Linked DNA regions of Caenorhabditis elegans. The protein of the gene in region 1 interacts with the protein of each later gene in a pairwise test. Each region holds a gene or a part of one and is shown on either strand. Other genes may lie near its edges.

Region 1 (4,935 bases):
ATCTTAAGTATTCAGCCCAAAACCTCAATTTTCACCAGAAAACTTCAAAAATTTACGCTAAAAACTGCTATTTTTACCTCGAAATCTCAAAATTTTAGCTTATAAACTCAAATTACACCTGAAAACTTCGAATTTTTTGCCTATAAATGTGTTTTTCCCCCGAAATTTTCAATTTTTCACTCAAAAATCCCAAATTTTCAGCTCATTCTTCCAATCTCTATGCGTCATCGGCTATTGCCTTCTCCCGCCGTTCGTCGCCGCCGTTCTTTGCTCACTTTTCCTCCATGGAATCGCTTTTCCGCTCCGGCTTCTCATCACTTCCATTGGATTCGTGTGGTCCACTTATGGTGGGGGTTTTCAATTTTTTCTGAAAAACTCGAATTTTAAAAATTTCTACCGCGACGCGACCGCTTCGCGCGCGGCTTTCATGAATTTTCCAAAATTGTCCAATAAAATTATCAAATTTCAGCATCGATGGGATTCTTGGCAGGATGTCAGCCTGACAAAAAGCGACTTCTCGTCATTTATCCGGTGTTCCTGTTCTATTTCGTCGTCAGCTGGATGATCATTTCACATTCTTGAGCTTTTTAAAGAAAAAAATATAGATTATTTATTCCCCTTTCAACTCGTGATATTATGCATAACATCCGTCATCATCGCTTTTGATTATAAACTACAAAAAACTGTGATTTTCTACTGTAGCTTTCACTAATTCTCCCCCTTTCTACTCTCTAAGAGCCATAACAAATTTTTTTGTCTCCTCCCTCACGATTGATGTATTTATTTGAACGAAGAATAATTGATTTATGCAATTTTTTCAGTGAAAAATGAGAGAAAAAAGATAAATTCAGAATATTAAAAAATTCAAGCCGCGATGCGACCGCGCCGCACTGGGATCAAAAGGCGCGAGTTTAAATTTCAAAGAGCGATTTTTAAAGTTTTTCAAAAAATACTAAATACATAATTTTCTTTTTCAAAATTTTATTAATCTCATCGCATTTTTCTTCCGTACAGCTGCCGTCTTTTTCTCTGCGCTCTCTCGCGTCTTCTATGCTCACTCTCACATTCTGCGTCTCCGCCGCGTCTCGTACTCTCTCGCTAGTCCTACTCACACGTTTTTCACTTGTTTTTTTGCCTAAATTAACGGATTTTGCCACTTTGTCATCGATTTTCAGCGAAAATCTATAGCCGCATCGTGCTTGGCGTATTTCTTTGACTCAGTAGCTTGAAAATCCCGAAAAGTTTCGGAAATTTTGATCCTGGATCCAGGATCCGCGAAAAAGTGGATAAGATTTTGTTTTTTAAGGGTAGCAATTCTAAAATCTAGAGAAAATAGATGGAAAAATTGATTTCCAAGCTATTTCTCACTTAAAAATCAAGAAATTTGCGAAAAGTTTCCAATTTTGCAGAAAAAATTTTGGAATTTGAGCTACATTTTTGATTTCTGGATATTTTTCGCAATTAAAGTATTAAGATTGTCTAATTGGAGAGGTGTGAACGTAGAAATTTGAATTTTGCGAAATTTTACTGCTAATTAGCTTAAGTTTACAAAAAACACCTTATGTACGCCGGGCGCGTTGCGGTCGCGTCGCGGTCTATTTGAAATTTTATGATTTTTCGAGTTTTTAGAAAAAATTAATGCTTTAATTGAAGATTTTAAGCAAAATTAGTCGTGGGAATTATCACAATTTTCTCCTCGCGTTGCGGTCGCGTCGCGGTTTTCTCAAATTTTTTGTTTCTGAAAACCACTATTTCCCTAAAATATTATAGATCTCCAACAAAAATGCGCCCAAGAAGGTCCGACTCCACAACGGGTCCCGCCGCGAAATCACTTCCCACCTCCGACGTCGAAGAGGATGAAGCTGCGCCGGATCTCAAGGCAGAATCCGAAGACGTGACGTCATCAGAGGAAATGCAGAACAAGAATCCCGTCAGTGCTCCAGAAAAACGGGCAAAAACCGCCTCATTTAGCCCACCGCCCGCACTTTCGCCCGCCCACTCAATCCAAATGGAAAACGAGGAAATCGAGGTGAAAATGGAGGTGGATAGTGATGAGGAGGAGAAAAAATTACCAAAAATCACTGAAAAACGAGCCAAAATGGTGTATAAGGTGAGACAAGCCTGCACGAGAAACGCGCCAACGTCCAGCTGGTGCATTTCTCGATACCGTACTTCAAAATCCTCGTTTTTTGCAGAAAAAACCCGAAAAAGAGAAAGAAGCAGTGCCATTTATCGATCCAAATGCTCCAAAAAGAAATCGATCTGGATATGTGCATTTTATCATGTAAATTATCGATTTTTCGCGAGAAAATCCCGAAAATCCCCAATTTTTTCAGACATCGCCGAGCTTCATACTCAAAAGCCGTGATGTCACAGAGAGAAATTAATATATCGCTTGCGGCGGACTGGCAGAAGCTTACCGCCGAAGAACGTATCCCGTTTCAGCAGAGAGCCGACGAGGAGAAGGTCAAATATTTGGAGCTGATGGAAGAATACAAGAAAACTGACTCGCATAAGGAATTTCAGAGTTCGTTGTGCTAAAAATCGAGTTCTCCGCAGTTTTTTACCTGTAGGAAGTATAGGAAGCGTTAATTTTGACAACTTTCGGGTTACGGTAGCCCCAAAAGTACGTAAACACCGTACACTCTACGCAAAAATGCACAGAAATTAAAAATTTTGCCAAAACCGTCTACATATGGGTAAAAAGGGTCGCTGAGCTCGATTTTCACATTAAAAACCGCTAAAAATCTCATTTTCTTGCAGAAAAACGTGCAAAATTCCTGTCATCTCAGTCAAATGGCTCGAAAAATGCGAAAAAACGACGGCAAGCAGATTCTGACGACGACACGCCAAACGTGCAAATCCCCTTCCCGAAACCATCAGTTTTTTGTCCACTTTTGAGCCCAGAGCCTGCCACGTCATCATCCACATCAGGCCTACAGTACTCTGGGCCGATTTTTACGCCGGAATTTATGACCTACAACAAGACACGGGACACCTACCGTAGGCAGCTGGCTATTGAGAGATCCCATGTGGAGCATGAGCTCGAGGCGCTTCATCAGCACGATATGGACGTTCGAATTGAGCAACGTACGGCCTAGAAACCCAAAAAAAAAAGTTTTGTGGCCGTGGCCTAGAAAGCAGCAAATCTCGAAAAAACTAGCCCACATTCTTTTCTCGACAAGAAAATGTTTAAAGTTTTTTTCTGAGAAAAAAAAATGAAAAAACGGAAAAAAAATTGATGGAAAAATTATTTCGTGCCCGTGGCCTAGAACTTTGAAATTTTTAAACAGTTAGGCCACCACTCAACAAGTTTTTTTTTGCAGAAGAGACACGAATCCGAGAAGCTGACGAGAAAATCGAGGAGACGATGGCAAAAATGCGTACGGTGCTCGCCGCGGTTCCCGGTGCAAAAGGTGAGATTCGAGGCCGTAGCCTAGCAATATGGAAAGTTAGGCCACCACGAGAAATGTGATGGCCTAGAAATTCAGATCTCGGAAAAGTTTGGTCATTAATAAAAATCGCCTAATTTGGTCATTTTTCGTCATATTTCTCAAAAATTTACGTGGCCTAGAAAACCAAATTCCGCAAAAATTCGGCCACTGCTCCAATTAGGCTATCTTAGCCCGTTTTTCATCATTTTTTTTTCTCAAGATTTCAAATTTTTCCAGATCACCTGACCTCAATTGACGCACTGGCCACGTGGCTCGAGTCTCTGACCCATCTCGGAGCCCAAAATTCGACGAAAAAAAGTGTCAAGGAGGCGGTGAACAAGAACGCAAAATCCATCGTTCAAATGAAGAAATAGCCGAATTTTCCCTGTTGAAAATCAATAAATTACCCACCCCCGCCTTTTTTTGAACCATAATTTCTTGTGCATTTTCCCAAAGTTTTATATCAATTTTTTTCAATATTTTTGGTCTTTCGTTTTATATTTTTCAGGGTTTCCTTCTTCAACTCCTTTAGAAAATTCAAATTTCCCGCCTAAAAATATCGATTTTCCATGTGATTTTTTTTCCTAGCCCCCGCCCTCCAAAATTTGAGCTCAAACATGATTTCTTTGATTTATTTTTCAATATTTTTTTATTTTTATTCGAAAATGTTTTCTAATATGAATTTTATATGTTTTGAAAGTGTTTAGTTTTTTTTGTTAAGAAAAATCGCTAGAAACATGTAAAAATATAATTTTGCACAAAGTCGTGGTGAGACCCGTCGAAAAAGTTCTGCCATGCGCCTTGAAAATGCACCGTAGTTTTTATTGACTTTTTCGATAAAAAAGCTCCCTGTGGGAAGAATCCGAACAAGAAAAGCAAAATTTCTTTCAGATTAGGAAAAAAGCACTGCATTTTTAAATAAATTACTTGAGAAAGAACGTTTATAAATAGTAATTTCAAATTCAACAACAACAAATTTGTGAACAAATACAGTGAATAACAGGAAAAAACAAAGAAAGTTGAGTTAGAATCAGGAAGGAAGCGAATATAAATGATATCTGGAATTATGTGAAGCTTATAAAAGCAGGGATTCCGGCTTCTGCTCCTCCAGCTCGATTTTGACCTCACTATCCATTTCTGATTGGATTTTAATACCATGCGCGGCGAGAAAATTTGACGACAAATTCTTGGAGCTTTTATTGGCGTCTTTTTTACTCCGGGAGCTGCTGCTTTGCGCGAAATATTCGAAACTTTTCATGACTTCCTCGTGCGATGTAGATTCTGACTCATTTTGCTCGAGAAATTCGAATTCTGGAAGGATTGACAGTTTTCCGCGTTTCAAATCCGTTTCGAGCACTTTCTTGACTGAGCGGAATGTTTGACATCCTTTTTGAATGCATCTGAATTTAGAAAAATTAACAAAAAATTAATAAAACAATTTTTGTTTTCCAGAAAACTGAATTTTTTTCTCAATTTTCCGGAAAATCAAAGAAATTTTTTG
Region 2 (4,897 bases), on another chromosome or scaffold:
GATGAGATCGGCACGACGTTGTTCTAGAAGAGGATCGGCGCGCTGAAAATTGGAGAATTTTAGGGTTTTCTATGAAAAATGCTAAAATTTCAAGCTTAACCTACCGCTTGCTCATGTGTAATTCCATAAAGCGTCGGATTCTTCAACATTCTCACAAAAAGGAAAGTGTAACCCAACCAATTCGTCGCCTCCGACACACTACTGACAGTGCCGAGCACAACCTCAGCGTTGAGCATATCAGTGAGCCGTGAGACCATCTGCGACTCGACAGGAAGCTGTTGATTCATCAGCGAGAGATAATACTGGAGCTCCGAGTGATTTGTGATGAGAATTCCCTCTCCGCGATCATCGTACTGTGGACGTCCGGCTCTTCCGAGCATTTGCATGATGTCGAGTGCTCCGAGCTCTGTCCAACGTCCTTTTTCCGGGTTATAGATCTGAGTTCCCTTGATGATTACAGTATGAGCCGGCAGATTGACTCCCCAAGCGAGAGTTGCAGTCGAAAAGAGCACCTGAAAAATAATATTTTGAAGATTTGAAATATTTTCGGGAAATTTTCGATTCCCCTACCTGAATATGCCGATCAGCGAACAAATCCTCGACGAGTGTACGATCAACTCTGTTCATTCCAGCGTGATGAATAGCGAATCCATACGGCAAGAGGTCCTTCAAATCCAAATTCTTCGCCTGCTCGGCCTCGGTTCTCAGGATTTCTGTGCTCGCTGAGCCCTCACGCATGAACGCCGACAGCGTGTCCTTCTCGAGGCACGCGTCACGAATCGCTTTCGCGGTTTTCGCAGTTTCCTTTCGGGAATGCACAAAAACGAGGACTTGGCTCTTTCCGGCGTGCTCCATAATCTTGTCGTACACCACTTCGTTCATCGCCTGGAACCTCTTCAAAGCCTTCTTCTCAGTAACTCCAATATATTGTTGCTCGAGGGGAACTGGACGATAGCTGTTATCAAAGAAGTGCAAATGCTCAGGCTTCACTCGCAAGAACGTCGCCACATCTTGATAATTCGGAAGAGTTGCTGAAAGTCCGACCAGTCGGCACTCATCGTGATTCTGCTCCATTTGACGAATCGTTCTGACGACGATCGACTCCAACACCGGTCCACGATCATCGTGAAGCAGATGGATCTCATCAATGATCAACAGCCGAACCATCTGGTTATAGGCTCTCTCTCCGCCTTTTCGCGTCACCACATCATACTTTTCCGGCGTACAAACGATCACTTGTGTCGCCATGAACTGCTCTTTGCTCATTTGAGCATCTCCGGTCATTTCGCCGACAGTGATTCCGAATGGAGCAAGACGTTTTGAGAAGCTTCCAACCATCTCTTGAACCAGTGACTTCATCGGAGCAATGTAGACAATCTTGAACTCATCGAGCTTCACACTTCCATCCTCTGCCAAGTGGTTTCCGATTTCTTGGAGCATCGTGAGCAGCGCCACGTTCGTCTTTCCAGCTCCAGTTGGAGCACAGAGCAAGAGATGCTCTTTGGATCGAAGAGCTGAATCACAGAGTCGGGATTGGATCCTGTTCAGCGACTTGTAGCCGTCGAAAGCCGGTTGGGCCCATTTCGGGAGCTCTGAGACACTGACGAGCTTCTCTCCTTCAGCAAATGGTCGTGGTTTGAGGGCTGGTACGTGGATTTCTTCGTAGGACTTTTTCTGGCGGCGGTAGGATCCGTCGGGGAGCTCGCATCTGCAAAATTGAGAATTTTAGGGTTTTTTGGGAATGTGGACTTTTAAAGTGCATAATGAATCAAATTTCCTTAATTTTCTAATGGAAAATCGTACTTTTAAAATAAAATTGTATTTACCTTTTATTGCTCATCAAATGAGATCCTTGACTGAACGTGAGATCGTTTAGATCCAACATCTTGCGGCCCGCCTGCCACTGTCCCGCACTGATGGCTTCATTTGCTGCTGTGGCGGCCTTCTTCGACTTCTCCGCGTCTCGTTTCGACTTTTCCACCTGCACAACAGATCCCTCATCAGTCTCCTGAAGAAGTGCAAGAATCGGATGAAGCTCTGGACGAGATCGCATATCATCTTCGATTTGGAGACGCTCCTTCTCGTTCGCCTGACGCAAAAGTGTACAGTAGAGGATCATAAGACGATTCTGGCGAAGGCACTTGATGAACTCGAACTGATCGAAGCCTAACAGCAGGACAAGCTGATTCTCGGCGTCACGATCGTCGGCGGCGTTCTTGAGAATTCCGATGACTTCCGTTTGCTTCTGTTGGGCGATCAGAGGATCTTTGAAGTACTTGGCGAGCGATCTTTGGATCCAATGAGCGTCGATGTCACGTGGATGAAGAATTCCTCGTGCTTTTTGCTCATCTTCCGTCAAATGACCATCTCCTTTGAGTGTTGCCGTGTAATCTGTATCCACACCTTCTTCCTCTTCACTCTCCTCCTCACTATCACCTTTGATCTCATTAACCATCCCACCGTCATCTTCTTCCTCATCCGAGTCGAACTGCACATTTACACCCTCATTCTCGTAGATGTCTCCATCGCCTTCAGGCTTATTCTCCTCTTCGATCGAAAAATCGCTGATCTTCTTCGATAAGTTGATGAGAACTGCGATACGATCGTCGGTGAGCGGTCCCAGAAGAGCTTCCACTTCTTTCTTCTTCTCTGAAAAAAAAATATAAATTTTATTGAAAATCTTCGATTTTCACCTCACCTTTATCTCGGAATTTGTCGTTTTTCAGCGTGAGAAGCACCTCGTCAGCGGCTCCGCACAGAACCTCGCGTGGAACATCGCCAAGTGCGTCCAAAATGAAAGACAAAATCACTTCATAAGTCTGCTTCGTCTCCTGGGTTCTGGGCTTGTAGGCTCCCATGAGCTCATTATTGTCGACAAGGACATTCCGGCCGAACTGTTGTGCTTTCTCGTCGTCCTTCTTCTTTCTCTTCTTCTTCTGATCCTGCACCGGCGCTTTTCCCTTGATCGCCCGGTCACCCATCTTCATTTTGCGCATCTCCTTATCCGTGATCGGCAGCACCTCGCCAGTCGGCTCCTCTCTGCCACGCCGATCCGTCAGATTGTAGTCGACCGACAGAACCAAGTTGGAGTTCTGCCGGTACTCATACTGCTGGATTCGGGCTAGCTCGTCGGCCATTGTAGTTTGTAGTCAACTCGGGATAGTCGAATATCCTGCAAAAATCGTGGGATTAAGGTTAAAAAAATCAAAACAAGAAATAAAAATTGAGAGAAAATAGATAAAATCGGCTGGCTGAAAACCAATTCGAATTGAATAATAAATGGAAAATAAAATAAACAAAATAAATATTATTTTACAGAGTAAGTACATCGGGAATTTGCGAAAAAAAAAATTACGGGGAAAAAAATTACAGAGAAATATGTTCAAATTTGGAATTAAATGGAAATCGGAAACATTTTCCTGAGACGAGAGCACTAAAGGACTAAAGCTAAGCGTAAAGCTCGTGAATTAAGTAGTGGGGAATGTGTATACAAAAGCTCATGGGGAATCAGAGGAGAATCTTGGAGACTTCGGGGAGATCCGGAGATCATTGGGCCTTCTGAGCAGCCTCAACACGGAGCTTCACATCGTGAGCAACGACCATCTCGGCGGCAGTGTACAGATGGACGACGGAGATGGCGGACTTGACGAAGGCAATCGGGAAGGCGATGAGTGGGAAGATCGACATGAAGTGGAAGTTGAAGATCAGTGGTCCTGAAAATTAGAGGAATTAATAAATTATAGCAAAAATAAATCAAATATTTACCAGCCCAGAACGCGCGAATGTAGAGCAAAATGTAGAAAGCCTCATTTCCGCCGCACATGAATCCGAGGAACAATCGATCCGTGTAGTAGAGGTTCAGAAGCCAATTCGAAGACTGCTTGTGGCTCGTGGCACCGGAGAGATCAGTGGCGTGAAGGTGAAGCCAGTGAGATGCGATGTCGATTACGGCCGACAGTTGAAGCAGGAACAAGTGATCCGGGTAGAACTTGCAGAGCGCCATCACCAAGGCCAGCAGGGCGCAGCTGAAAATATGAGAATTTTACCGAATCCAATTTTTTTCTCGAATTTTCCAGCATATTTGAGAAATTTTAACGTACCGATCGGTGAGCTGATCGAGCATTGCTCCAAATCGGCTCGATTGATTGTAGGTCCGTGCCGCCCATCCGTCAAACGCGTCGAGTCCGGCGCTGAGTGCATAGCTGAAATTATGAGAAATTTTAATTACGAAAATCTAATTTTCAGGACTTTTCTTCTGAAAAACCTTGTCAGATGGCATTGTAACTCTTCAATTATGGGGGAAAATTGAAAAGAAACCTGGTCACCTTGATTTCTTTACCATGCATCGCAAAAATACTCGACATTTCAGTGAAAAAGAGATGAAAAGTAGTAGTAAACATGGATATTAGCTAATTTTTGATGCAAAAATCGATTTCCAGCTCGCCAAAACTCACCAGAACATTGCACACCATGGCGCTGACGACATGTAGTACATGGCCAAAATGGCGAGTACTATGCGTCCATAACCGATGAGATTCGGGTAGAATAGCCACACATTGTTGTTGTTCTCGGCGGCTGTCGGTTCCATTTTAAGCTGAAAATATTGTTTTTGAATAAATGAGAACGAGAAATCGATTGAAAACACGGGAAAACGAAAAAAAGCGATAAAAAATGCCTTGACAACGGTCCATCTGCTCCAAAGCAAGACATTTTCGAAAATGGGAAGAGAGCGGAGACGCAGATGGTTGGAGATGAGAGAAGAGCTAGAAATTGTTTATTCTCGCTTCATTTGGCTAGCTAATAAGATGGAAAGCTTTTAAGGCAAAAATGTAGGAGTTGGAAGCGTAAATGAGGAGAATTAATGGGAAAAATTAAGAGAACTGGGATTTTTTTTCGA

Evidence for each region.
Region 2: the proteins of hmg-20 (region 1) and snrp-200 interact in a two-hybrid assay, tested with the Caenorhabditis elegans proteins (one large-scale study listed by BioGRID).

Annotation. Positions count from the first base shown.
Region 1 is NC_003279.8:12,533,544-12,538,478, forward strand, and holds hmg-20 (HMG box domain-containing protein), read left to right. Parts: upstream 1-1,768; 5' UTR 1,769-1,783; coding exon 1,784-2,110; intron 2,111-2,195; coding exon 2,196-2,284; intron 2,285-2,336; coding exon 2,337-2,527; intron 2,528-2,763; coding exon 2,764-3,090; intron 3,091-3,326; coding exon 3,327-3,416; intron 3,417-3,671; coding exon 3,672-3,808; 3' UTR 3,809-4,128; downstream 4,129-4,935. Other genes in the region: W02D9.2 (Protein YIPF), read left to right, coding at 202-347, 470-582; W02D9.4 (Zf-3CxxC domain-containing protein), read right to left, coding at 4,510-4,834.
Region 2 is NC_003280.10:12,733,739-12,738,635, forward strand, and holds the start of snrp-200 (U5 small nuclear ribonucleoprotein 200 kDa helicase), read right to left. Parts: upstream 3,173-4,897; 5' UTR 3,138-3,172; coding exon 2,699-3,137; intron 2,650-2,698; coding exon 1,827-2,649; intron 1,709-1,826; coding exon 571-1,708; intron 513-570; coding exon 105-512; intron 43-104; coding exon 1-42. Other genes in the region: pisy-1 (CDP-diacylglycerol--inositol 3-phosphatidyltransferase), read right to left, coding at 3,547-3,713, 3,766-4,025, 4,101-4,202, 4,455-4,588. UniProt on the Caenorhabditis elegans protein: Catalyzes the ATP-dependent unwinding of U4/U6 RNA duplices, an essential step in the assembly of a catalytically active spliceosome. Plays a role in pre-mRNA splicing.